7 linked regions of the Rattus norvegicus genome follow. The protein of the gene in region 6 binds, or shares a complex with, the protein of the main gene of each other region. Links are inferred from orthologs where the notes say so. Each region holds a gene or a part of one and is shown on either strand. Other genes may lie near its edges. The genes, in order: Taf5, Taf9, Taf7, Tbp, Taf13, Taf3 and Taf11l1.

What was found.
Region 1: Taf3 (region 6) and Taf5 share a complex: the UniProt entries of both Homo sapiens proteins name them as parts of the TFIID basal transcription factor complex. The link is inferred for Rattus norvegicus from reciprocal best matches to the Homo sapiens genes TAF3 and TAF5.
Region 2: Taf3 (region 6) and Taf9 share a complex: the UniProt entries of both Homo sapiens proteins name them as parts of the TFIID basal transcription factor complex. The link is inferred for Rattus norvegicus from reciprocal best matches to the Homo sapiens genes TAF3 and TAF9.
Region 3: Taf3 (region 6) and Taf7 share a complex: the UniProt entries of both Homo sapiens proteins name them as parts of the TFIID basal transcription factor complex. The link is inferred for Rattus norvegicus from reciprocal best matches to the Homo sapiens genes TAF3 and TAF7.
Region 4: Taf3 (region 6) and Tbp share a complex: the UniProt entries of both Homo sapiens proteins name them as parts of the TFIID basal transcription factor complex. The link is inferred for Rattus norvegicus from reciprocal best matches to the Homo sapiens genes TAF3 and TBP.
Region 5: Taf3 (region 6) and Taf13 share a complex: the UniProt entries of both Homo sapiens proteins name them as parts of the TFIID basal transcription factor complex. The link is inferred for Rattus norvegicus from reciprocal best matches to the Homo sapiens genes TAF3 and TAF13.
Region 7: Taf3 (region 6) and Taf11l1 share a complex: the UniProt entries of both Homo sapiens proteins name them as parts of the TFIID basal transcription factor complex. The link is inferred for Rattus norvegicus from reciprocal best matches to the Homo sapiens genes TAF3 and TAF11.

What each region holds. Positions count from the first base shown.
Region 1 is NC_086019.1:255,902,774-255,906,273, forward strand, and holds part of Taf5 (transcription initiation factor TFIID subunit 5), read left to right. Parts: intron 1-34; coding exon 35-272; intron 273-3,500. UniProt on the Homo sapiens protein: The TFIID basal transcription factor complex plays a major role in the initiation of RNA polymerase II (Pol II)-dependent transcription.
Region 2 is NC_086020.1:33,526,929-33,531,187, reverse strand, and holds the start of Taf9 (transcription initiation factor TFIID subunit 9), read right to left. Parts: upstream 2,801-4,259; 5' UTR 2,750-2,800; coding exon of another isoform or gene 2,722-2,749; exon of another isoform or gene 2,574-2,721; intron 2,546-2,573; exon of another isoform or gene 1,988-2,545; intron 646-1,987; coding exon of another isoform or gene 553-645; intron 1-552. Other genes in the region: Ak6 (adenylate kinase isoenzyme 6), read right to left, coding at 553-645, 2,722-2,749; cell cycle checkpoint protein RAD17, read left to right, coding at 4,208-4,249. UniProt on the Homo sapiens protein: The TFIID basal transcription factor complex plays a major role in the initiation of RNA polymerase II (Pol II)-dependent transcription.
Region 3 is NC_086036.1:29,710,676-29,714,618, reverse strand, and holds Taf7 (transcription initiation factor TFIID subunit 7), read left to right. Parts: upstream 1-1,294; 5' UTR 1,295-1,529; intron 1,530-1,906; 5' UTR 1,907-1,967; coding exon 1,968-2,993; 3' UTR 2,994-3,443; downstream 3,444-3,943. UniProt on the Homo sapiens protein: The TFIID basal transcription factor complex plays a major role in the initiation of RNA polymerase II (Pol II)-dependent transcription.
Region 4 is NC_086019.1:65,135,582-65,139,507, reverse strand, and holds the start of Tbp (TATA-box-binding protein), read right to left. Parts: upstream 2,801-3,926; 5' UTR 2,643-2,800; intron 6-2,642; 5' UTR 1-5. UniProt on the Homo sapiens protein: The TFIID basal transcription factor complex plays a major role in the initiation of RNA polymerase II (Pol II)-dependent transcription.
Region 5 is NC_086020.1:198,891,999-198,896,131, reverse strand, and holds the start of Taf13 (transcription initiation factor TFIID subunit 13), read right to left. Parts: upstream 2,801-4,133; 5' UTR 2,758-2,800; coding exon 2,731-2,757; intron 1,589-2,730; coding exon 1,510-1,588; intron 1-1,509. UniProt on the Homo sapiens protein: The TFIID basal transcription factor complex plays a major role in the initiation of RNA polymerase II (Pol II)-dependent transcription.
Region 6 is NC_086035.1:73,515,162-73,518,553, forward strand, and holds the end of Taf3 (transcription initiation factor TFIID subunit 3), read left to right. Parts: intron 1-894; coding exon 895-1,012; 3' UTR 1,013-1,048; exon of another isoform or gene 1,049-1,132; 3' UTR 1,133-2,892; downstream 2,893-3,392. UniProt on the Homo sapiens protein: The TFIID basal transcription factor complex plays a major role in the initiation of RNA polymerase II (Pol II)-dependent transcription.
Region 7 is NC_086028.1:74,278,259-74,282,546, reverse strand, and holds Taf11l1 (transcription initiation factor TFIID subunit 11-like), read left to right. Parts: upstream 1-1,488; 5' UTR 1,489-2,913; coding exon 2,914-3,537; 3' UTR 3,538-3,986; downstream 3,987-4,288. UniProt on the Homo sapiens protein: The TFIID basal transcription factor complex plays a major role in the initiation of RNA polymerase II (Pol II)-dependent transcription.

The sequences.
Region 1 (3,500 bases), on a different chromosome or scaffold from region 6:
TTTTCTTAAAAGTTGTCATTCATTTTTTAAACAGTTGCAAGTGTAGCTGTGGAAGACCAGCCAGATGTCAGTGCTGTCTTGTCGGCCTACAACCAACAAGGAGACCCTACAATGTATGAAGAATACTACAGTGGACTGAAACACTTCATTGAATGTTCTCTGGACTGCCATCGAGCAGAATTATCCCAACTCTTTTATCCTCTGTTTGTACATATGTACTTGGAGCTAGTTTATAATCAACATGAAAGTGAAGCAAAATCATTCTTTGAGAAGTATGTGAATCTTAACATATTTATCTATATATGTCTGTAAACACACATCTGTAACCACACGAATGTAAACCAGAAGGCGTTTTGTGAAGGACAGGTGCCTGGGCAGTATGAACCCAGCACAGGGGCAGCAGGAGGATTGATCCTCCAGAGGAAACAGACTTGTAGGGCGATCTGAGGAAGGGCGAGGAGTTAGCCAGTTAAAGCGGGAGCATACCTGGAGTGGTCTGTGGGGGAAGGGATCTTGGTAGTTACAGAGGCTAAAGAAGCTCATAGTGGCTGAGGCAGGGAATGGTGCAGGGCTGTGGTATAGCATTCAGTTGGCAGCAACAGGCAGGTTCTTGGACTGTGCTGAGGGTCTCTGTCATAGGAATAGTAGGGATTTGTATTGGATGAGATTAGGTTTGGTTGAGAGTCACTGAAAACTCAATGATTATGAATAAAAACTTTATTCTAAGAACAGTAGGAGGCTGTGTTAGGATTAGAAGATGACTAACCACCCAAACAATAGGCTTGAATAAAATGTTAAGTTGGATTTTCTCATAAAGGTAGAAGGTTTGGGGCTGATAGGTAAATCCTCGATCATCAGGAATTATTGTCCTTGTCATGAAGCTTCCACTCTGTGGTACAAGCTGGGCCTCTGTCAGAAAGTAGTCCCAGCACTGTTATAGTCAGCAAGAAAGGCACACATTCCTGGAAGGTGCTGACACTTTCTTTTTCTAACTTTTTATCAGTGGCTGTCCCTAGCTATAGATGTAGAAAATGTGATCTTCCCTGAGGTGCCTGTCCTCAGCTAACAGCCAGGGGTTTAGTTATGGAGGAAAGAAGTTAAAATGAGCATTTGGGGACGGTAAGGCATCTCTGCTACAGATGTCACTAGAGGGTCATTTCATTAATTGCAGTTTTTGTCATTTTTCCTAAGACAGGATCTTATAGTGTGTAGTCCTGCCTAGCCTGGAACTCACTGTGTAGACCAGGCTGGCCTCAAACCTGCAGAGCTCTGTTGGCTTCTCCCTTCTGAGTGCTAGGATTATACATGGTCTCCCACCAGGACCCAAGTGAGCATTTTAAAAGACAAACAGATGGTGAGGGACAGAAGGACTATTGGATGCCTAGGGTTATTAACTGCTTCTTAATGGTGGTGATAGTCCTCTTTCCCATGACACTTAGAAATATGTTGAGGCATATTTGTTTGTTGGGGAGGAGGGAATGATAGTAACTATTATGGAATGTATAGATAGTTCTACTTAGCAGAGAATTGTCCTGCCTAATATATCAGTAGCATCGCTATTGAGAAACAAGAATCTGCTGATGAAGTGAAAAGTAGACTGACCCACGCATGTTGGGTTGGATATGGAGGTGAGACACCATTGATAACCCAGATTTCTGGTGTGTCCACTGGAGAAGGATGGCTTTCCTGTAGGAATCCCTAGAGGAGGACATTAGTAGGGTTACTAATCTTTAGTTCTAGTTCAAATGTGCTTTTGACTAATTTAAGAACCATTAAGAAGCAATAACCATGTGCAGCATGGTGGTGCATGACTCTAATCCTGGCACTTGGGAGACCGAGGCAGGTGGGTCTCTGAGTTTAAGGTCAGCCTGGTCTACAGCATGAGTTCCACACAGAGAAACCATGTCTTCAAAACCAAACCAAACAAAAAAACCCCAGTACCTCCAAGACTGGTCTGCCAATAGTCCCTCTGTCCTCCTGTACTGTAATCCTGTTCCCTATGTACTAGCTGAGAGGGGAGGAGCTTCTGGAGCCAACATTGGCTTGAGGAGCTCCAACATTTAACAGGTACAGGATACAGAGAAGGGAAAGGTGGAGACATAGGGAAAATTCCAGAAGGCATCCTTACAGATGCCAGGAGGCAGGGCTGACTGCCTGATGAGAGCACTTCAGTGCAAGCCACAGAGCTTGAAGTCAGGACTTGTCGCAGAACGATGATGGTGGTAGGGGAAGAACAGAACTCCTAAAAGCTATTACCCACTCATCATGCTTGGATTCCTAATTGAAGGTACAGAAAGCAAACTGGGGCTCAGCCCTCTCCCTTCTCTTGGGCTGATGATAATATTTTACATTAGAAACCTTTTTTTCTTCTTCTTCTTTTTTTTTTTTTTTTTTTTTTTTTTTTTTTGAGACAGGGTTTCTCTGTGTAATGGTCCTGGCTGTCCTAGAACTCACTCTGTAGACCAGGCCGGTCTTGAACTTGCTCTGCCTCCTGAGTGCTGGGACTAAAGGCATGTGCCACCACTACCCAGCTTAGAAGCTAATTTTCTTTTGTAGTACTGCATCAGTCTTGCTCTTTCAGTCTCCTGGGATAGCCACTTTTCCATGGAGAAAGATGGGCTGTAATAAAAGGCTCTCTGTTCCCATTACAGACAGTCTGCTAGGACCCCATGCCCAAATGAAGGCAAAATAAGCCAAGACTTGTAAAAACAAGAGTATATTTAAACTATAAGGTATAACCAAGACTGAAGGCTTTACTTAATTGCCTTGATAATAGTGAAAATATGGAAGTGCTTATTGTTTAGTACCAATATTTGTTCTTTACTTTATCCTTATTAAAGTATTGATTTTAATGTCCTAAGTAATTAAAATGTATAGGCTTATAAGAATCATGTCCTGTGATAAGTACATTGAAGGCATACTATTTTCTACTCCTGTGTTTGAAATGTTTTTAATAAAAAGTTTTAAAGAGGTTTTGAGAAAGCGCAAAATTCAGTAAAGCAAGGATTCTGACGTTTTTATGTATTCCCAAAGATTTTTTTTTAATTTTTTTTCCAAGACAAGAGTTTCTCTGTGTAGCCCTGGCTGTCCTGGAACTCACTTTGTAGTCCCGCTGGCCTCAAACTCAGAGATCCAGGCTCAGGCTCTGCCTCCTGAGTGTTGTGATTAAAGGCGTATGTCGCCATGGGTCAAAGATACTTTTCAAAAGAAATACATACCGTTAGTGAGTCCGCTCAGATGTCTCATTCACTGCTTCATTAAAGAACTTTCTCCTGAAATGTTTATGACACATTTCATTAGAGAAATTGGTCATTTTAAGGGTGATTTTAGAAACTGAATTATAATCATTTTGAATTACTATTGATCCTACAGCCTAGTCAGGGTTATTTATGTAGTTACATTATATACTTTATAGTATAAATATATAATTATAAACTACATATGATTCTGGGATGGTTTATCAGTGTATGAGGGAGAAGCAGGGGAGAAGCAGATTACCT
Region 2 (4,259 bases), on a different chromosome or scaffold from region 6:
AAATTCCTTCTCTGAAATGTGGATATAAAAAGGATGACACAAATAAGTTAAATAATAAAAGATTAGGGGAAAAAAGGGGTAAATAAGTAAAAAATAACACTTTAGACTACATGCAGTGAGTCTGGGCATGCAACTGTCCAAGTGACTTTTAAAAAGTAATATGATAGTCATATCCTATTTGAGTTCACGGTAGTCTATCCTGGAGAGATCAATATAATGTCTCATACATTTAAAATCACCCAAACCTTTGTGTCTGCTGAGCCCACAGCATTTTCCCTCTTCCTCATATTCAGAGCTTATCTATCCAGTCTCCCAACAAAACCGTCACAATTTTTACTATTCTCAATAATGCTAGTTATTTTGGGGTAGGGAAGGGAAAATGTCCAAAATAACTATGTCATACTACTATCTATTATACATGTGATTTTCTTTCTCAGGCCCCTAGCAGAACATAATCACTCATTGCCAGGACCCTCTAGCAACACTTCACAGTCCTAACACTCTACTATACCTGACTTAAAAACAGAAATACAACATCAAAGAGACGCTTACCTTCCCGAGCTAGATCTCCCACATTAACGTACTTCAGGCCTGATCTTGATGCAAGTTCTTTGCCTAGTGTGGTTTTTCCAACCCCTGGTGTACCTGTAAGAGAAGCCACAGAAAAATGCTGTTCAAATCCTACTTACTACATGTCAGCCGTCTTCTGCCCTTACAGTTCTTGGTTCTTTTTTTTTTTTTTTTTTTTTTCCGGAGCTGGGGACCGAACCCAGGGCCTTGCGCTTCCTAGGTAAGCGCTCTACCACTGAGCTAAATCCCCAACCCCTGCCCTTACAGTTCTTAGACGGTATAAAATTTTTCTTAATTAGCAATCATATATGAATATACACCATGAACTAATAAAAATTCCCCAGAAAGCCTGGTATGGTGGTGCACGCCTTTAATCCCAGCACTAAGGGTGGAGGCAGGTGGGTCAATCTCTGTGACTTCAAGACCAGACTAGGCTGGTTTCAGGACAGCCAGGGGCACATAGCAGGACCCTGTCTCAAAACCAAACCAACCAAAAAATTCTCCAGAAATTACTGGGTATTAGTGTCAGGACCCTAATCTCCAGGGATAGGACTCCAAAAATTTTGATGCCAATCCTGCCTGCCAACATATAAAATTCCCAGCATAAAATCAGGCACTTCGGGGGTTGGGGATTTAGCTCAGTGGTAGAGCGCAAGGCCCTGGGTTCCGTCCCCAGCTCCAGAAAAAAAAAAAAGAAAAAAAAATCAGGCACTTGGGATACATTATCATTTGCTGCATTAACAAAAGCTTAAAAACATTCAATGGAAAAAATATAAGAGGTATGAGAAATATCATTACTACTATTTACACTAGTAACTTCCCCAGAGGGAACTACTGTAAACCAGTTTCTTACTCAACTTTCTATGAGTTTGTGTATGTCTACAGGATACTTGGGATGCATTTAAATATGTGTGCACATACACATTGTATATATCCACAGCATAGGTACCCTGTTGTATAAATGGCACTATACATTGTTCTTTGCTTTTCTGCCTTTATAGCTAATACCCTTTTAAGATAATCAAATGCATAATGTTCAAGCTTAAAATTACTTAAGTCAATTTGAACATTATAAGTAAAAATCACGACTCTACATTCTCATCCTATTCAATCTTATGATATGGCTCTCTCTCTTTTTTTTTCCCCATACATAGGGCTGGCCTTTGACATATGCCACCCCAGCTAGTCTATGTAAGTTCTGGGGATCCAACCCAGGGTTTCCTGCCTACTAGTTATAAGTTCTCTATCAACTGATTTCCATCACCAGGGTCCCTCTGTAGCCTTCTGGTTTCAGAATCTTAACCCCCCCAAGACACTGTCTGACCATGCAAATCAGGTATTGTAAAACGTTCCTCCTAAGAAACCTTAAAAGCTAGTGCGTAGAGCTGAGGCAGACAACAACCTTACGATTCATTACCTGACATCTACATCCATCCCATTTTTGTACGACTGGCCTTTGATGCTACTAGATGCTACAACTTAATATTTCTAATTAAAGCTCCGAAACCTTCCCCCGGCCCCCACGATCAGCTCCAGATCACCACAAACGTCCACAAACGCTCAGAAACCCCAACACTAAAACAACAACAAAGCCTGTGGCGCGAACGGAACTAAGAAACAGTTAACTAGTCACTTCTCTCCACAAGCATCCCAAAATCATCTACCGAAACCTCTTGGGAAGCAAACGGGGCATTAAAAAAGAAAAGAAAATGGGTGGCGATCAGGAAGGCCCAAGGGCTGGGGCACCCACCATTACCACATCACCTAACGGCTAAAAACTGCCTCACAGCACCCCGATTTAAAAAAACCCCTAGCCCGACCGCGACAAAGAATCAGCAGCCGGTCCTCCAGGCAAAGATACCAGATTGACAAAGGCTAAGTGTCTCCCGGGGCGGCGGGGCAACGGAGCAGGAGCCGGCAGCCGCTCTCCTTCTCGTCGCCGCGGCGCGTCTGGCTAACCGAACCTCCGCCTCCCCCGCTCCCCCTACCCCCTCCCCCAACGGTCGCGAGCGCCGGGTCCTGACGCGACCACGACACCGCACGCCGCGCGGCCTGAGGAGCCCCGAGGCCGAACACCCAGCGCCCCCCGGGACCTCACAGCACTCGACAAACCCCGGCCCGGCCTGGCCCAGTCCCGCCGCGCGCCCTAACCGGTGAGCAGGATGTTCGGAAGCTTCATAGTACTCCTTCACACGCAGCCAGCGCTTCGGCTCACGCGCTCTCCAGGGAGGAGCCGGAAAGGGCGGGCGGGCGCGTGCGCCCGCGGCTAGGTTCCCTCGAGGCCCTTCGCGGTGCTCACACTCACTTAGGACCCCCTTGGCTCGCACCAATGACTCCCCGGCCTCGGGAGGTACACTTCCACCGAATGGGGGGAAAGCACGGCGCCAAGCCTGGCCTGCGTTTCGGGTCAGGCAGTACGCTGGACGCCTACGTCACTCGCTCGCCTGCCGGCCCCTCCCCTCTGGTGCGTCGCGTAAGCGCCCGCAGTAAGGAAGGTCCCCAGGAGGCGGGCCGCCCTAGAAGCCTGCGGCTGAGCTGGGAGGGCTGGGCGGTTACCCTTCCACACTACAGCCTGGCCTCCTTCACATCTTTCCGCCCGCGAGGGGACGCAGCTCCCAGAAAGTAAGGACGACGACGCTTCCGCTTTTCTTATTAATGTCCTAGAGGCGTGAGACCCGCTTCGTCTTTACGCCTACCTGGGCTGTCCTCCGGACCCGCCCTCCAATATGGACTAGTGTAGGATGTAGGTGAGGAGCCCTGGCCTGAAGCCATGGTGCGATGTGTCAGCTCCGTTCTCTGTTGATTGCACAAACACCTAGGACTGATGTGTCCCTGTCCCCTGCGCAGTGTATGAGGTGGAGGTGGATCGGCTAGGGGTAGTCTTGAAGTTCTCGTTTATCTCCAGCGTAATTCACGAGCCTGGTATTTATCATCAGAGACAGTTGGTTTTTTATCCAAGGTGATGATTGTCAGTCTTGTTTTCAAAGAGCCCCGACCGTTGAGTATCTTTTATTTCGACAAGTATAATTTCTTAAGCAGACGTTTTTGTATCCTTTTAAAACGTCAGGCCCTAATCCTAAATTATAAGGGGAAGAGCATTTGTTATATTAGGTGGGAAAGATTTTAGCGGGTGGGCTTGTGTGTACCTACAACTCTAAAATAGACCAGTGCACTTCCGGTTTATCCGAAGTGACTGATGAGTCTTACTTCATTGTGTTTTTTCCTTTCTCTTAAGTTGTAAATACACTGTACTTTGCAGCGTGATATGAAATAAGAATTTAGGCATAAAAATGCTTATATGGGATTAGTTTTTCTTTATAACAGAAGGTAAGTGCACAAATATGTGGCTTTTCTGTTTCATTCTTTGGAGTTTATATGAAAACCTTTTTACTTATACCATCCCACCACAAATAGACTATCTGATACAATTGTAATCATTTAAAATTTACTTAAAGGTTTTAACATCTTTTTTGAGTCCACATTACATGGTTGATTTTGTATTTTGATATTGATCAGTATTAATCCTGTATTTATTGTTTTTCCTAATTTGTGATGTTTTTCTTTTTTCCACCAAGGTGAATTATACTTCAATATACTCTAAATTGTATGCTACTGATGGGAACTGTTAAAGTTTATAATGTCAGAAACTTTCCTTAGACCAAAGGTGTCTTCTACAAAGGTATGACATA
Region 3 (3,943 bases), on a different chromosome or scaffold from region 6:
GGTGCTGCACACCTTTAATTTGCGCTATACTTTCTGCAGGAGGCCTATATAAGGACATTGGAAGAAGGAAGACTCACACTTCTTCAATTGCTTGCACTTACTTCTTACTTGCCAGCACATCTGTTGGTACCCACTTCTTCAAGATTCCAGTTTATACAGAAGACTGGGTGAAAGAACTAACCTCGTGGGACTGAGAAACTAGATTCTTGAACTTTCCATTCACAGCTGCCCATTGTTGGGTTAGTTGGGCTACAGACTGTAAATCATTACATTAAAATCCCTTAATGTATACAGACATTCCAGAATTTCTGTGACTCTAGAGAACCCTAACAGTACAGACAGTACCAATGGGCAAAACAAAAACAGACCTAATTATCAAATTTCATAGTTTTGAGAAAGTCTCTAATGTACTAACCTTGTTTTTTGGCTTCTGTAGTTCTGTCTCTGGAAAGTGGTTTTTGTAACAGAAACATGCCAATGTAGAACATTTGTTTGTGCTTAAAAGCTCACCCTGAGAAAGCCTTAGGGCCACACTGGGATCCAGAACACCCAATGTAGTCGCTGGCTAGCTAATACTTTATATTGGCTTAAAACTATGTCCAAGCAGCCTTCTTTGGTGGATACCCAACAACAAAATCAGAACGTTTGTGTTTCAGGCAAGGCAATTCTGTTCTTAATGAACCTGTGTCATCATAAAAACATTTGTATACAGTTATATCTATCAAACATATTACCAAAATAGCGTATCATACATATCACACCTCGTCCTCTGGAGCCAAAAATACTAACGAAGCTAAAGGCTTAGTTCCTCTCAAAGCTAATTAACATGATTATACACAGCGTTATGTGGTAGACAGCAAAACTGTATCATTCCACTGTTTTGGCCACTTTACTTTCACTTTGTGATGCTTCCAAAGCTTTTGGCGGAGGGACCGGGTATGCCCTGGGAAGAAAAGATGCTTTCTGCAGGGACGCCCTTTATCTCTGGCAATCACTCTAGAAACTGTCTTAACCCACGACTTCATAAAAGTGCTGTCTTAGGGGGTGTGCTTATGTTTTACTTTTTGGAATCTTCATCTTTGAATTCCAAGCCAAGGTTTTTCCGGAAACACTAGTTTTAATCCTATACAAGGTAAGTTCTCACGAGAAGTAGTCACGAGACGACGTAATTACGAGAATGCGCCTGCGCGCGCCGCGACGTTACTACTTCCGGAAGAGCGGCAGCCAGCCCCTCCGCGTCTACTTCCGGTCTTTGACGTAGCGCCGCGTCTGCTTCCGCTCACTGCCGTAGCACTTTCTTTCCTTCTTTTCTGCGTGGGAGGAGGCTTGGCAAGGTCCTCTCCGGAGTTCGGATGTTTGAGCGGCAGTGTGGCGAGGTTTCGCGCTGCGGGTCCTGAGCCGTTTCGTTGTTAGCGCTCAGGTCGCCTTGCCGGGCGGCTGAAAGCGCGGACAAACTGGAAGGTAGACGCACCGCTCATCGCTGCTTTACTCAGGCCGAGAAAAGCTGAGTTCATAGTTGCTGGTGAACTGTAAGTACCCGAGCCGAAGAGCTCACGACTTTTATTTAAATCTCTTACTGGAGAGAATCCGTGGATTGGGATTGCCTGCCAGACGGACGGACTGTGCCTAAAATCCCCTCAGGCGCTGCTGTTTTCTTTGGCTGTTCACGTGATGCTGCAGCGGCGTCTAGAGGCCCTAATTTGGTATTGCATCTAGTAGAGGTGTGAGTTTAACAGGGACAATGCCAAAGTGGGATGCATGTTTAGAGATTAGTATTGGGACTTAATTATAAATTAAGACAAAATAGGCAGTAGGTGATGATCCACTTAGTTGCTGTTTTCCTTAGAACTCAGTAACTAAGAGTTTAAGATTATTCTTAACCTTGTCCTTTTTTTAACTGTTGTAGGAGCTGGAACTTGTTAGTGCAGCAGGTGTTTATTGGAGAAGTAATTCACAAGGAAGTGAAGATGAGTAAGAGCAAAGATGATGCACCTCATGAGCTAGAGAGCCAGTTTATCTTACGGTTGCCCCCAGAATATGCCGCTACTGTGAGGAGGGCAGTGCAGTCTGGGCACGTCAACCTGAAAGATAGACTGAGCATTGAGTTACACCCTGATGGGCGTCATGGGATTGTCAGAGTGGATAGAGTGCCCCTGGCTGCAAAATTGGTAGATTTGCCGTGTGTTACGGAGAGCTTGAAAACCATTGATAAAAAAACCTTTTACAAGACAGCTGATATCTCTCAGATGCTTGTAGCCACAGTAGATGGTGATCTATACCCTCCTGTGGAGGAGCCAGCTGCTACTGCTGATCCCAAAGCAAACAAGAAAAAAGATAAGGACAAAGAGAAAAAATTTGTTTGGAACCATGGAATTACTCTACCTCTAAAAAATGTCAGAAAGAGAAGGTTCCGGAAGACAGCAAAGAAGAAGTACATTGAATCTCCAGATGTGGAAAAAGAAGTAAAGCGGCTGCTGAGTACAGATGCAGAAGCTGTCAGTACTCGTTGGGAGATAATTGCTGAAGATGAAACAAAGGAGGCAGAAAATCAAGGCCTTGATATCTCCTCTCCTGGAATGTCTGGCCACAGGCAGGGCCATGACTCACTAGAGCATGATGAGCTTCGAGAGATATTCAATGACCTCAGCAGCAGCAGCGAAGATGAAGAAGATGTAAACATCATTGACACTGAAGAGGATCTGGAGAGACAGCTACAGGACAAGCTAAATGAGTCAGATGAACAACACCAAGAAAATGAAGGAACCAATCAGTTGGTTATGGGGATTCAGAAGCAGATTGATAATATGAAAGGCAAGCTTCAAGAAACCCAAGACAGAGCAAAGCGCCAGGAGGATCTCATCATGAAGGTAGAAAACCTGGCTCTGAAGAACAGGTTTCAAGCTGTTCTGGATGAGCTCAAACAGAAGGAAGACCGGGAAAAGGAGCAGCTTAGCTCTTTGCAAGAAGAGCTGGAATCACTTCTGGAGAAGTGAAAAGGTTGACTTTAGTCCTTAGACTAGTCAGCTTAAGAAGAATTTATTTTCAGAGTGAGGTCTTGAAAAATTCTTCTTTTTTCTTTGAAATATTCTTATTTCCTGTAATGCTAGGAGTTATTGTGTTGATTGTTTTCACTCTTAAGAAAATAGGATTACATAGGCAGATTTGTTGTAGTGTAAGGTTAGTGAAGTGACAACACTGAGCTTTTAATCACTTCACCATAGGACTTTATTACAATTTGTTTCCTAAGTTTCTAGTCCTATTCTTCGGTGCTAAGATCAGTAAGAAGCTAGCTAGCCTACAGGCAATGGAGTGTTTTTTTTTTTTTTTTTTGTTTTTTTTTTAAGAAATATATTTTTTTACCTTCTCAGCAAGTTTCCATGTTACAGAAATGCAAGTTTTTTCATAAAAGTTGTTTTTTGCACAATAAAAGTTACTAATTTTCACTTTGCTTATCTTGTTCTTCAATGAATACTGAAAGTTGAGGTGAGCTCATGGAGTTTAATGGCTGAGTGGTATAGATCAAGATACATGCTGTTGTTTTGCCTTTTTAGAAAAGGAATACACCAGATAAGGAAATGGAGAAATTCATCTTTGCATTATAGATTATGGTTCAGGCCTACCTACACCATCTGGAGGTTTGTGAACACTCGGTCCAGAGCCTTCTTAAACTATCCTACTTTTCATTGAAGGATATCTGTCTATATCTTTTTATTAAACACTAAAGTTATCTATAAAATACTGGAAGCAGTTAAACAGTTATCAGATGAACTATTCCACTTGCTTAGATTAAGATTATATTCTTAACTGTTGCCATTTTAATTGCTATGCTTTTTTAATAGGCATGTTTGTTCATGTTATTTCATTAGTATTTGCCACTATGAAAGCCTGTTACCAGGTCTGGTATTTTAAAATTTCATACATAGAATTTTTCTCTGAGGCATTT
Region 4 (3,926 bases), on a different chromosome or scaffold from region 6:
TGATGCTGCTTGGAAAAATATGTTTTAAGTTTAATGGACACAGGTTTCATGCTCACACAAAATAAACACATAGAACTGTTTTGGAGTGTGTGTGTAAATGTGTAAATACACACACACACACACACACACACACACACACACACGAATATATGTATCCTTTACTCCCAAAGCCTAGTCTATGTTTCCTGTGACTCATGTAAAACCACCAACAAAACCAAAAACTTATGTGGCTGTGTGCTTAAATATTCTAAATATTCTAATAGTACTGAAAATTAAGGTATCGAGATCAATAGTAAAAATTATTGGAGAACGGGTTGGTAAGAAGTGGTTCAGTAGGTAAAGGCATGTGCTGCCTAGATCCTCAGATCCTAATAATCTGAGTTTAACCAAATGGTGAAAGGAGAGAACAGGCTCTCACAAGCTGATTCCTCACATAAAGGTAATTGATTTTATATGTGTGGGTATTTTGCCTACGTGTATGCCTGTATATCACTTTCATGCCTTGGTGTCTGCAGAGGCCAGAAGAGAGAGTCAGATGCCCTGGAACTGAGCCACCATGGCATCATATTAAAATAAACATGGGTCTTTGGATATACAATTTGTAACTTTGAAACCTGTGTGTTCTTTGTGAACTTAGACAATAAATGTTTAGATTAAGATCAAATTGTAGGGTGTGAGAGATGGCTCCAACCTGGTTCTCTGGAGGAGTAGGCAGTGCTTGTAACCTCTGAGCCATCTCTTTTAAGAACCAGCATCAGGGACCAGCCCTTTGTACCACCTTCACCCTCATGCCCCACCCCCAGCAAAGGCCTCGGCAAACTAAAGGCCGAGGGAAAACTAATTCGTAAGCAAACTGTACTGTAAGAAAAGAACACTTACTAGGCACTGTTTGTACAGCTCTATTAAGTCAATTCTGGTTTTATACCATTCCCAATACCTCAAGCTTAAAGTATCATATTGAACTGGACACAATATGCTTTAGGTAATCATTTTTTGTGTGTTCTAATTTTAATTAAAGGCAGACTAAACAACAGATGAAACATTAGCTCATTAGATCACATTAATTCAAACCACGCCTGGAACTGAGTTTCTTAAATCATCAGCTCTTTAGTGGTCATGGATGTGAAATATGAATATGGATTAGGAGACTATGAAATGTGCTCTCTTTTCCTTTGTAAAGGCAGTAGTGATAGAATCCAGAGCCTCCTAAATGGCAGGCAAACGCCCATCCTCAATTCCTTAAAGATACTTTATTTTTAAAAATCAGCTCAGTTCATATAGACCAATGGCTTGCTCAGAGATGCCATAAGAAGTGAACGAATCAACATTCCAGATACAAAGATAAAGAGGATACGGTCCTTATCAAACAGTTCGGTATAAAACAATACGGAGACAACTATAAATACTTAGCAAACACTAAAACTGCAGGCGTTTACGAAGTAAGGCAAGCTATTGGAAAGCTGAAACCAACATTAGTGTCTTCAAGACACCTGCACCTACCTATGACTGGTCTCGGCATTTGTGACCGTGAATGAATGTTATGGAAGAGTACAGATTAGAGTCAAGAGGTGGCAGAATGTTCTGCAGTCAAGAGCACTGCTGCTCTTCAGAAGGACTAGTTTTGATTCCTAGTACCCACATAGCTACTTACAACTAGCTATAAATCCAGTCCCAGGGAATCCAAAGCTCTCTTTTGTCTTCTATGGGCCCGGGCATGCACGTGATACACATAAAGACATATAAGCAAAACAGTCATATATGTAAATCTTTTAAAAGTTAAGACGGAATTGAAGTACCCTTTCCAGAGGTCTGAGCTCTCACAAAGCAGGGACAATCTAACACAGGTCTAGCAAGAGGAACAAAACCACACAAATCAGCACTATCGCAGTACAAGTCACAGACATGAAAGGGGGACAAAGCCTTGCATGTAGTATGTGACAGGCTTAGAATGTAAAGTCACTACAAAAGATGACAAAGCAGCTAGCTGTAGATAGGGTTGCATAATTCAGGGTATAAGATGTCACTACACAGACAATGGGAACAGTTAAAGGATGTTAAGGTGCAGTTTGAATATCTTCTTGGTCCAAGAGCGGATAAATCTGAGAAAACTGAAGACTGAAAATTCAATTTCAGAGATCACTGTTTTGGTTGGGGAAAAAAAAAAAGGCTGGATTTAATGTCCAAAGTATAACCAGAGATTTATCCAGATCACTTTCTGCAAACAAAGTTTACTGAACGCTCGCTTATATAAGACTGGGGAATGTGTAGTATCCTTCGCTGAGGTCATCTCACACCTGCAGACGATATTAAACTACCTTTTCTCATCTGCATCTTAAAACCGCAATAATCGCTGCACAAACTTATTTTTAGGTTGTTTTCAACTTTTGGAAACTGAGCCATCAAACTGAATATTTGGGAAACCAATTCTGCAGTCTTCAAGCGTCTGCTTCACCCAGTCCGGCATCTTTTCCCAGAAAAGCCTACCCGGAGTTTTGGAAAACCACGTTAACTCGAACCTAAAGACTGACAGCGTGTAAATAAAGAAGCGTGCGTTTTTATGTTAAGCTCGACTGAGCTTGAATCTCGAGCTTCTGACGAGATGCTCCGTCTCAAGAACCGCTTCCTAATAGAATTATTCTTACTGGGGACAAAACGAGCAGCCGCAGGCCTGGGTAAAACTGTCTTCCACCGGGGGAAGCAGCTGAGATGTACGGTGCGCCGAGCTGTCCGGTGCCAGCCCCTTGGAGAGGCTCACACTTGGCACTGGATTTCATGACCCCGCCGAGGCGGTGGTCCAGAGACTGGTACTCCCGGAGCCGCCGCAGCCCGCGCGGAGGACCGTTCCCCGCCCGGCCGCGCGCCCATTCCGCGTCTCCTCCGGCAAACTCCAGGGACCCGCTGCAGAAGTCGCTTTTGTTAAGGCCTCCAAGCAGAGAAAAGGATGAAAGAACCGTTACCTGGGCACTGCGGAGAAAATGACGCGACCGCAGAAACCTAGCCAAACCGCCAGCAGATACCCGCCACCGCTACCGGACTCGACCCCACCGAACGCCTGACGCACATCTGATGCCGTCACTTCCGCCAGTTGCGCTCTCGACTGGAGCCCGGCTTGTTGTGCTTAAACTGTGAGACACTCGTGAAAGAAAGGGGTTGGGTTGGTGTCCCAGCATTTTCGGGACCAGGCCTCTGACCGCCCTTTCTAGCTGTCAAAGAGAGATGTAGAGTGTGTAGCGGGAACAGTATTGGGGATGTGGCTATGGGGATCAGGCTCAAGCAAGCGTTCTACCACTGAACTGTATACATCCTCGATCTTCCACGTGTTGTTTTTGTTTTTTTGAGAGTTTCTCCTTGTCGCTCTGGCTGTCTTGGGACTCACTCTTGTAGAACAGGCTGGTCTTGAACTCAAGAGATCGCTTGGCAAGCTCACTGGGTCCTCCACTTTGCTCTGTAGAGTTGAATGATAGTAGTAGTTGCCTCTTAGAGATTTGTGAGATGGATAACGTGAATGGCAAGCAGACGCTTCTTATTATGTTCTCAGTAAATGTCAACTTGCGTCCAAAGAGGAACAGCAAAACAAGCGGCTTTGTAGTCACAGACTCATTTCTATTTTAACTCTGCTACTACCAGCTCTCGTCCTTGCTGTCACAAGAAAACGTCAGCTGTTTCTTAGACTGGTTCTTAATGCTTGATTTGATTCCAACATACCTTAATTTTTTCCTTCCATGGTTCACCTAGGCATATACATGTGTTGTTGTGCTTACTCCCCCCCCCCCCGGTGTGTGTGTGTGTGTGTGTGTGTGTGTGTGTGTGTGATAGAGAGAAAGAGAAAGAGAGAGAGAGAGAGAGAGAGAGAGAGAGAGAGAGAGAGAGAGAAGAGAATCTGTGTGTTGTGTATAGCTGTTGAATAGGTTGCCATATGCATAGAC
Region 5 (4,133 bases), on a different chromosome or scaffold from region 6:
CCTAAGGAGTATGATGGAAGGTTAACGACACTGTTAGTACCCCAGACTTCACTTTCTTGCCCTGATCAGTGCCTTAGTCCAAAGCCTCAACTTACATCGTTTGAAAGGTGGACACAAGAGGAATATAACATCATAGTCATCCCCAGCTACGTAATAAATACAAGACCAATCTAGGGTACATGAGACCCTGCTAAACACAGAAAGGGAAAAACAACAACAAAAACAAAGCAAACAAAAAAACAGAAAGGGGGAGGGGCAGCGGTGCAATGAATGTAGCTCAGTTAGTAGCTGAGTGCTAGCCTAACACACACAACTAGGGTCAATCCTTAGCTAAACAAACTGGGAATCATGACATATGGGCCTATGTGTAGCACGAGGGATACAGACAGGAGAAGTTCAAGGTCATACTCATCTACATACCAAGGTTGAAACCATACTGGGATATAAAAACCCTGCCTCAGCTGGGTGGCTGTGGTTCACAGTGTCAATCCCAGCACTTAGGAGGCAGAGGCAGAGGTGGAGGCATATGTATCTCTCTGTGAGTTCAAAACTAGCCTGATCTGCAGAATGAGCTCTAAGACAGCCAGAGCTACACAGAAAAACCCTGTCTCAAAAACCTCAAAGAGGGCTGGAGAGATGGCTGAGTGGTTAAGAGCACTGACTGCTCTTCCAGGAATCCTGAGTTCAATTTCCAGCAACCACATGGCAGCTCACAACCATCTGTAATGAGATCTGGTGCCCTCTTCTGGTGTGTCTGAAGACAGTTACAGTGTAATTATAATCAATCAATCAATCTTAAAAAAAAACTAAAAGAGGGGTTGGGGATTTAGCTCAGTGGTAGAGCGCTTGCCTACCAAGCGCAAGGCCCTGGGTTCGGTCCCCAGCTCCGAAAAAAAAAAAAAGAAAAGGAAAAAAAAAAAACTAAAAGAAATAAAATAAAAAAAACCCACCTCAAAGTGTATGTGTGGGTGGGGGGGAATCACATTCATTATTTTACGTCACAAAGAGAGAATTAGTATACATGATAAAGAGACTTATACCAACCACAGGAGGCACACCGGCAATCCCAATACTTGAGAGGCTAAGGCAGGAGGACTACCGCCACCCAAAGCTAGCTTGGGCTAAACAGTGAGCACCAATATAGCCAAGCCTATGCAGAGCCTATCTTTAAAAAAAAAGAAAGCAAAAACAAGGGGAGCTAGAAAGATGGCTCAGCAGTTAAGAGCACTAACTGCTCTTCCAGAGGTCCTGAGTTCAATTCCCAGCAACCACATGGTGGCTCACAGCCATCTGTAATGGAATTGATGCCCTCTTCTGGTACTCATATACATAAAATAATTTTTTTTTAAAAAAAAAGCAAAAACAAACAGGAATAAAAACAACCTTACAGGCAAGTCTGAGAACACTGTCCCTCTAAGCAAACATATGCAGAGCAATGTACCTACTCTCCAAGGACATGTTTAAAAGCTCTCACCACCTGTAATAAAAGCATTGGAAAGTACAACTTACGTTCTTTAGAGAAAAGTCTCTTTCTCTTCCCCTGGCCACCTTCTGCTCCTCCTCCAATTTCTTCATTTTCCTCCTCAAACTAGAAATTTAAAAATACAGAAATGTCAAATGATGGCAGTGCACGTGATATTCTCCAGAGTCTCCTCCTGCTCTCTCTTTTGAGTGCTATGAATTGAACCTAGGAGCTCACGATTCTAAACAGTTAATTGACCACTGAGCTACACTCCAGTGCCCTTTTCATCTTTTTTTGAAAGACATTTATTATTTATATGTATTGTGTGTGCCTACATTGACTATGCCTGCAAATGCCCGTAGAGGCCAAAAAAGGGGTCTAACTGCTGTAGGTAGCCAGATGCACTAAAGCAAAATCTCTAGACTTTTTTTTTTTTTTTTTTTTTGAGACAAGGTATGTGCCCGTCTGCCTGGAACTCAGAGATCCTTTTCTGAGTGCTGGGATTCAAAGTGTGCACCACCATGCCCAGTGACCCTTTTGCATTTTCAAAAGTGGTAAGCTAAGGCAAACAGCACAAAGTCATAGAAACTTAGCATCAGAGGGCTCTTATGTCCTATTCCACTTCTCAAGTCGTGCAAGAAGTCTTTTATTACGGCTCCTAACTAACAACCCTACCCGGGGTGTGTGTGTGTGTGAAGTTCAAATGGACGTCAGGTTCTGGGTTTGGTTTTAGCCCATTTAGTTGTCATACTGCTAAGCAATGCTACTACTGTAAAAGACCTGATAGTTTAAAATCTACTCTCTGCTGCCATCAGAAGCAACATTTACTAAGCACCTGTCAATACAGGGCTAAAAACTTTCCTTAACTGGGCTTGACCCTATCTCACGACAAGAAAACCGATGCCTTAAGTTAAATAACTCCAAAGGAGAATCTGGATCTCAAACTTCCTGACTTTAGTTCATCTTTTCTCCACTATTTTCACTAGTTTTGTTAGCAGATGGGCTGCTGGTTCCGCAGTATTTGCTTTGATCTCCTATGACTCTCTAGACTCTCAGTGTCAGGAAGATCCAGATCAAAAGGAGATCCTGTCTACTTTTCCTTCCCTTCCTGCCCCACGCACTGACTAAGGTAAACCGAAGGAAGAGGAAAACACCGCGGAGACCCCGAACTCTCGGCGGGATTCCCTAAGGCTCAGGAGGGTCAGACTCTGCCTCCGCTAGTGAGCCAGAGGGAGTGAGGAAACAGGCTGTGACGGGCGCTCACTCACGGTGGGATCTTCCTCCTCATCTGCCATGCTAGCAGCCCGCCAGCCTTCTGAGCCCGCCCAAGGGCGGCTCGCAAGATTTATAAGATATGTGCGTCACTTCCGGCCTGGCCGGAGTTGCGCAGATGGGTGTGCACTCTCATTCTCCTAACCCCGGCCTTGAGATTGGCTGAAAATCAGTGACGCGTACTTAGGCGTGGAATCCTGAAGAAGGGATTAAAAATTACAAAGATGCCAGGCGTGGTGTACTATACCGAAAAAATTCCGTGCACTTGGCCGAGGCAAGAGAGCTTAGAGTTCGAGACCACTCAAGCTTCATGAGCCCATATCTCAGAAATCATAAATGATAAATTTGTGCATACTAATGGAGACTCCCAAATGCCTGTAATTCCAGCTCCAGGGGAATATGATGAATTTTTGCCTCTGGGGCTGATGCATTCAAGTACACAAGCCCACATAGATATACTTTTTAAAAATATATATATAATCTTTATGTATATGAGTGTTTTGCAGACACGCATGTGTACCATGTGTTCGCAGCGCCAAAGAGGCCAGAAGAGAGCAACTAATTCCCTGAAACTAGAGTTAGATGATTGTGAACCGCTATGTAGGGGCTGGGAATCAAACTCAAGTCTTTGGAAAAGCAGCCAATGCTCTTAGCTGCAGAGCAATCTTTCCTGCCTCCGTAATTTTGTGTGTGTGTGTGTGTGTGTGTGTGTGTGTGTGTGTGTGTGTGTGTGTGTACATTGGGTTTTATGAGGGGGGTGGGTTTGGGTTTGGTTTTTTAATTACAAAAGATGTGCGGGAGAGATGGTACAGTCAGTGAAAGCTCTCACGGAATAAGACTAATATTCAGGTTTAATCCCTGGGCCTATATAAAAAGTGAAAGGTAAGAAGACAGATTCCACAAGGCTGTCCTCTGGCTTCCATACACAGTAATAAGTAAAACATTTTAAAATTATCAAAGAGCTAAGTGTGATGGCACACGTCTTTAATCCCTGCCTGGGGAGGCAGAGGCTGGAAAATCTCTGAGTTCAAGGTCAGCAACAAACAAAACAGCAGAGACATTAAATGCATTAGAAAGCTGGCAGCACAGAAAAGGTAGAAATAGGGCATAAAGGAAAAAATAAAAAGCAAAGGACTATGGACAATGCTAGCAGGGCTATAAACTATGAAGTGTGGATAAATTCAACCCTCTTAACTCAAACTCCAAAACAGAAACCGGGAATAACAAAGCAATGTAATGAGTAGATCAGACACAGAGCAGAGGGAACAGCCTGGGGTTCTTCTACAATTTCAGAGTGGACTCCAGAGTCCAGTTTAGGGTTGGAGGAAAGATATCAAATGACAGAAAAGTATCTCATAGCCAGCCATTCCTGAGGGTGGACAGGGCTCAGAGGGCAAGG
Region 6 (3,392 bases):
ACCTGGGCTACCTGAGACTCTTTCCCACCCTCAGCCTCTCCCCCCAAGTGAAACATACAAGCAAAGCCATTGCATTATACTCTTCCTGATGGAAAGAACAAATAAACTAATTAGTCTCACTATACAGAAGGCGCTATATAATATAGCCCAAATACCCAGCGTAAGTGCTACAGTGTTTGGGCAGATTTCTGGTGTATACATCATTTTTGGCATTTATTTTCATTGCGGGATTGGAGCGTGCTGTATTGGTTTGCACACCATTTCGTTCCCTGTTTCTGAGCACAGCACGTGGCTCAGAGACCGCGTGCTGTTGGGCATCATGGCCAGTGTCTTCATCTGTTGAGCCACCATGCCTTAAAGATTCATTTTAAAGCACCAGAAGAGAAGGGATTGGTTTACCTCAGTTGGTAGAGTGCTTCCTTAGCATGCAGGAGGAGAAGCCTTAGGTTCCATCCCCATAGCTGCAAAAGCTGACTGTAGGGTGCACACATCCCAGCTTAGGTAGTAAAGGCAGGAAGATCAGGAGTTCAAGGTCATCCTGGGCTACGTAAGGAGTTCAGAGCTAGCCTTGACCGTACCAGGAAGAAGTGACCCCTTTGAAAACATGGCACAAGGGCTGAAGAGATGTCCCCATGGTAAGAGCACTGTCTGCTGCTGCTTCTGGGAGCTCGCAGTGGGCTGCAACTCCACTTACAGGATCAGACACACTCTTCTGTCCTCAGGCAGCACCAGGTACACAAAAAATACACAGCCAAAACACCCGTACATATGACACACAATAAAAACTTGGAAGTTTCTTTCTTAGGAAGCGTACAGCTTGCAGACCCTGCCTCAGGAAAAAGAAGTTACAAACAGTAAGAAACTTGGCTAACGTGAACTTGTTTTGGTGTCTAGGCCCTGTGTGGGAATCATGGCTGCTCCTCCGGAAGAAATGCAGTGGTTCTGCCCCAAGTGTGCCAACAAGATAAAGAAAGACAAGAAGCACAAGAGGAGGAAGCACCGGGCACACTGACGTCTGCGTGGGCGGGACTGCTGCCCCGCACCGGGCGCACTGACCGGGCGCACTGACGTCTGCGTGGGCGCACTGACCGGGCGCACTGACGTCTGCGTGGGCGGGACTGCTGCCCCGCAGCGGGCCGGGGCTGGCCCAGTTCTGCCATCCGTCTCCCCCAGGCCCTGTGGACAGCGCATCCCCAGGAGCAAGGACAAGAACATGCCATTGCTCTGGACGCTCCCTTCTGAAACACACGGGCCTGAGCTCCCACAGCATGTTGCTGAAGAGAAACTCCAGTAGAGGCCTGGCCTGAGGGCTGGCACCTCCATCTGCCTATTACCAGTGACAAGTATTAATAAAGACACCACACATCTTCCCTCTTGACTTCCTTCTTCTCTCAGAACCTTTATTCCGGTGTTAGGTAAGACGTCTGTACAAACGCCCAGACTGACTGGAGGATGCGTCAGTCGCTCTACAGTTTGCAAGCCGCTCCCTCCCTCCACAGCGAGGTGACCCGCAGGAGAGAGCGCTCCAGTCAGAGGACTGGTAAATATTTTTGTGATGAGAGTATATGAAGCCCCCCACCTCACCCAACTTTTATTACTAGCGTGTAAAATGTTCAGGCTTTTGTGAGATACCTTATATTTTTTAAGAAAAGGGTTTCTATCATGTCCTGTCCACCTCTGCAAATTCTTTTCATTTAGCGTATTTTATAACTTGGATTCTTATTCTACTGTGTGAGCTGCTGGAGTCCCTCTCGCTGCGTGTGCATCCCATCAACTTGTATAAAACTCTTGATACTGAGAAAAATCCCCCACTGTAAATAATAAATATTTATGAAGTAGTTATTTTTAAAATTTTTTTATCGTGTTTAATTCTGGCTTTCTCTGGAATCCACTGTGATTTCAGCCATGTCTGTAATTGCTGCTGTACATAGGCAAAGAGAGAGAAGGGCCCAGACCATGTCCCTCCCTAGACACCCTGCCCACATGGCGGGCAGAGGACCCTAGCAATTGGAAGGAAACAAGGCAATTGACACCTCGAGTCAATGGCTTGAAATCGTTTTGTTTGTTACATATTTCCTGTAAATTTCTCTCACTTTTACTAAAAGGACATGTAGTTTCCACAAAAGTAAAAAAAGAAAAAATACTGTAGCATTTTGTGTTTATATTGTTTTATTTCTACAGATTTGTTCATGGATATTGTGCTTTAAGGTTGAAATGAAGTATATTATGGATTTTTTTAAGAAAACTCATCAAATTTCAGGGTATCACAAAACTTTATTATATTGCTATACTGCCCACTATTTATTATATGTTATAGATATCTGAAACATAAACCAAATGTTTTATTTTTAATGTAAAAAAAAGCATCAAATTTAACTTTATTAGCATATTTTAGTGGCTTTGAAATAACTATGGACCTTTACTTGATTTTGAAATAATCCCAATCTGGGCATGTGTGAAGGCGATCTTGAATGTTAGAACTCGGAATTTGAACCTAATACAAATATATGAGTAGAAATGTGATTTTTTTTTTACTGCCAACTCAATTGACATTAGTATTATAGTCACTCCTATTTTAAAACATATAATGTGGTTTCAGAAATGTGGTTCTCTGCCTTGATGTTAAATTGCAGAACAGTGGTAACGGAGTCAACCTGCGAAGAGTGTGGAAGTCACTCCCCTCCTTGTTCTAGAAGCCAGAAGTTTTCGTCACCCCTGCCCCCCAAAAAGTATCTATGTCGAGATATGTGTCTCTTTTCTTTTTCATTCACTAGAGATCATTCTAAATACTTTATACAATATTTTCACATGCACAAAGAATACCCATTAGTGCTTTTTGGAGAAGACGAAGGATGGGGGAAGTACAAAATAAAGATTATTGGCTGTTTCGTAGCTTGCTTTTCCGTCTTCTTTATTTAGGAATCGGTTCCCTGAGGCATGGTCAGTGGATTTGAAGTCGCCACGTCTAAGTGAGCAGGTCGCACCCCTGAAGTAAGAAAGGAGATAGAACTTTTTCCCGTTCCTCCAGTCTGAGAGTCTCCAGCTCACATAACATTTAAGAAATTTCAATCAATTTGTTGTCCCTTGCTATTTCATGGTTGCTTTCCTAAATCCAGTCCATGATTTTATAAATGGTCTTTGCAGTAATAAAAACCAAAGAATCATTTTCAGGGGGCTGGATGGCTCAAGGGATTAGTAATGAAATACAGAGCCTTTCACCTCTAGGTCAGTGAGTCGAATCCAGTCCAGGTCACTAAAGACCCAAAGTTGTCACCATCTTATGACTCTTCAGTGGCCCGTGCAAAGCATACTGGTGGCTGCAGTCTCCACTAGACGGGCTGTCTGACAGCAACCTAAGGAAGTTTAAGAAACTTAAAAAGTGTGGATTAGAA
Region 7 (4,288 bases), on a different chromosome or scaffold from region 6:
AAATGCAGATTTTTGAAGGGCCGATCACCCTGTCTTGGCAGAGCTTATCAGTCAACTATTCTGCATAATTTGTCCTTTTCTGGACAATATTAGTCTGCAGATGAAACAGGCAGCTTTGTGTAGTGGCTGCCTAGCCACAAAGTATTGCCTTACCTGAACAAATTCTTCATTAAATCTGCCAAAGGGGAACTGTTAGGAGCAGCTACGTCTCAACAAAAGATAAATAACTTTAAGTCTCAAATTTTGTGGATTTCTGACGTTTTTGAAGACCATCCATCTATATAAGACAATCTGGACTGTTGTTTTCATATCTTAATATTTTTTTTTTGGTTCTTTTTTTTCGGAGCTGGGGACCGAACCCAGGGCCTTGCGCTTCCTAGGTAAGCGCTCTACCACTGAGCTAAATCCCCAGCCCCTTCATATCTTAATATTATCTTGAAAGTGCTCTCACAAAGTCAGAGCCATGAATGTGCTATTTGGCCCTTAACTCACATATGTAATCAACTCAGAAGTTTGTATTGACATAATTAGAAGGACTGGCTCTAAACCTTGTACTTTTAAACTTTTTTGACAAATAAATTCTATACCAAAACAAAGATATGATTTTAGCTTAGTTACCAAATGAGATAATGACTCTACAACTCAATCTAGCTAATTCCTCCCTGTTAAATTACAACCATTTCTAAGTTCCTCATAAAAACAACTTTAGAATAACTGCTTTCAGCCCCCCAAAAGTCCAGGGAATTGGGGCGACGACTCCTCCATAACTTCCTCAAGCTGTACATGGGCGTTGAGCTATCCTTGGGGGTAGGAGGCAGGAAGAATGAAGCAAATGCTGAGCAGATGTGTCCTGACTGGACCCAGCCGAAAGTCCTTGAGACCAGGAATCCAAGGAGGCACACAATACAACAATCAAGACAAAATATAACCATAATATATATAACCATAAAACTCAAGGTCACGGGCTGGAGAGATGGCTCAGTGGTTAAGAGCCCCGACTGCTCTTCCAGAGGTCCTGAGTTCAATTCCCAGCAACCAAATGTAGACACCCCATCTCTGACTTCCTCACCAGCGGTGCCTAGGTATCCAGAGAGGAAACTGGGAACCACACCATTCAACCCAGACCCCTCTGTTCCCATTCTAGTTCTGTGGGTAGCAGTGCCTGACATCATCCAGAAGGGAAACATTCACTGTGGACCCCCTGTTCTGGCTTTTGTTATGCCGCTCAGGGCTGGCATGATGGTGGCTGCTAGACACCTCCAGCAGAGGCAGAATGCAGTATGACATCAGAGCAATGTGAGTTCTTTATTTTTTATTTAAAAAGACAGCCAAGAGCTGGAGAGATGGCTCAGTGGTTAAGAGCACTGACTGTTCTTCCTAGCAACCACATGGTGGCTCACAGCCATCTGTAATAGGATTTGATGCCCTCTTCTGGTGTGTCTGAAGATAGCTACACTGTATTCATATACATAAAATAAACACATTAATTTTAAAAAAAGTCAGCCAAATCTTTATTGGGAAATGGGTCCCTAGGAAGTGAGCCTGGGGCCCTCGTTGCACATCTTGTTCCTTAGCACTGTTCCAAGAATTCCTTTTTTTTTTTCTTTCTTTCTTTTTTTCAGAGCTGGGGACCGAATCCAGGGCCTTGCGCTTGCTAGGCAAGCGCTCTACCACTGAGCTAAATCCCCAACCCCTGTTCCAAGAATTCTTTTTTTTTTTGGGGGGGGGGTTCTTTTTTTTTCGGAGCTGGGGACCGAACCCAGGGCCTTGCACTTCCTAGGCAAGCGCTCTACCACTGAGCTAAATCCCCAACCCCCCAAGAATTCTTCATCGCGTCTCGTGTTGTGGAGAACTAGAAAAGGTGTAAATATTGCAGGCCTTCAAAGGCATCGTCTGCTCTGAAAGCCAGGTCCACTGTGACTGAGGGCCTGTGGCTTTGCTACCTGTTTAGTGAACCATGTGCTCGACTCCTTGGCCTCAATGAAGTTGGTGGTCTTCTTGTGCCGGATCATGAGAAACACTTCCATCCCTGTGACTGACTGCTTCTGACTTGATGCACCAGACCTGAGCAGTGTCAACAACAGGCATTAAATATTTTAATTGTGTGCAGTGCAGACCTGGCGCAGACGCGGTCCACGCCCAGCGAAACCGCCCATTCGACAGCTGGGGAAGAACGAAGTGGGCACACTTGTAGGAGCTTCCCGAAGTGCTCGCCTTCCCAAAGATTTGGGAACCTCATGGGACTGGAAATGATCCTCATTGGTCCAGGCACTGTAGAAACAAAAGAAATGTGGGAACGGGATACTAGCTCTGTTCTGACGGGAGGCAGGTAGCCAATAGTTGAAGCATTGAATGAAATCGTTGGATATATTCTATTGGCACTAGAGATGCTTGCGGTACAGAAGAGAAGCCCAAGCAGTTCCCTGGTGGACCCAAGCCGCGGATCTCAGTTCTTTGGAAAATACGAGGTTGAGTCTCTGCCGGAAATTGCTCAGTCCAAGGCAGCAACAAGCAGCCGGACGGAGTTTTCGCCCCGTTCCGGACTTTGCGCTCAAGTTAACGGATTAATTGGCATTACATTTCCAGGAAGGAAGGAAAAAAAGAAGTCTCTCGGTAAACGAATTGTACGCCCTTTCGAACACGCTTCTACCCTAAAGCGGAGGATCTATACTTTTACATTTCTTTCTGGTTAAAACAAAGTCAGTATACAAGAAGACCCTGAGCGATCGAGACTCTGAAAATGACCCCTCCCAGGAGCCGTGGGCGTGACGTCATCGCGGCGCGACCACAAGCAATAAGGACCAGCTCCAAGCCATAAGCCTCAGCTATAATATAAGTCCCGCGGCAAAACTCGCTGACCCTCACTCCTTCGCCCGGCCGCGCTGCCTTCGCCTCTAACCCCCTCCTGTCGCGATGGAAAACCTTGGAGAGTCGCCCACGGACAAAGGCGGGGAGTCAGAGGAGTCGAGGGCTACTCCTGGGAACCCGTTAGCGGCAGACACTGAGGGAATCCCTGAGGAAACCGATAGGGATGGAGACGTGGACTTGAAAGAAGCCGCGGCAGAGGAAAGGGAGACCAAGAGTCAGGATGTCTCAGGTTTGACAGCAGTTGAGAGGGAAGACTCATTTCTTACTCCTGCAGCCAAAAAGCTGAAACTAGAAACCAAAGACAAGAAGGAGAAGAAGCAGAAGGTGGACGAAGATGAGATTCAGAAGATGCAAATCCTGGTCTCTTCTTTTTCTGAAGAGCAGCTGAACCGTTATGAAATGTATCGCCGGTCAGCTTTCCCGAAGGCAGCCATTAAAAGGCTGATCCAGTCCATCACTGGCACCTCTGTGTCTCAGAATGTTGTGATCGCCATGTCTGGCATTTCTAAAGTTTTTGTCGGGGAGGTGGTAGAAGAAGCCCTGGATGTGTGTGAGAAATGGGGAGAAATGCCACCCCTGCAGCCCAAGCACATGAGGGAGGCCGTGCGGAGGTTGAAGTCCAAGGGGCAAATCCCCAGCTCAAAGCACAAGAAAATCACCTTCTTCTAGATCTAACAGAGACTGTTCAAGACTTTCCGTATAGTTGGGCTTCTGTACTGAGGCTTTGTTGGTGGTGAGCCCAGGACACTTGATGCTGACTTTAATGTTTCTGTTACACCTACAAGGCACGTAGTGTGCCTCAGACTTGCCTTCACTCAGTCATAGACTGTCCTCAGGCATGTTGAAGAATTTCACAGACTCTTGGCTATTTTTAAGAAAAAATACACAGGGACTGTTAGTATCTCCTGGAGAGGGAGATGATTTCAGAGAAAAACAAGACAACTACAGTTTCACATTGAAGCCTAAAGTGGCTAAGATTCAGGTTGTTTCGAAACAAACTTTCTCAATAATCTGCTGTGAAGACAGTCACACCATAATTCGATTCTCACCGTTAACATTTCAGGTTGTCCTGTGTATTTTGTGAGGGATTATTAAACTTTTCCAACCTGTGTGGGAAACTTTGTTTTATTTTGTTGCAGACAAAACTTATTGTCCTTCCAATAAAACTTGGATTTTTTTTCCTTGTTTAAAAATACAAAACAAAACTTTTAATTGCCCTGGGGCTGAGTTTCTCTGACCCTGACCCAGAATGGTTGAATTCAATTTGACATGCCCTGTAGGAGGCCCCTTAGGGGGTTAATCTGAATTCATTAGCCTACTACTGGGCTTTGCCACACCTTATGCCTACTGCAGAAGGCTGAGCTTTCTTTTGGATTACTTCTAGAAAAACAACAACAACGAAAAACATTGTGCCTACGAA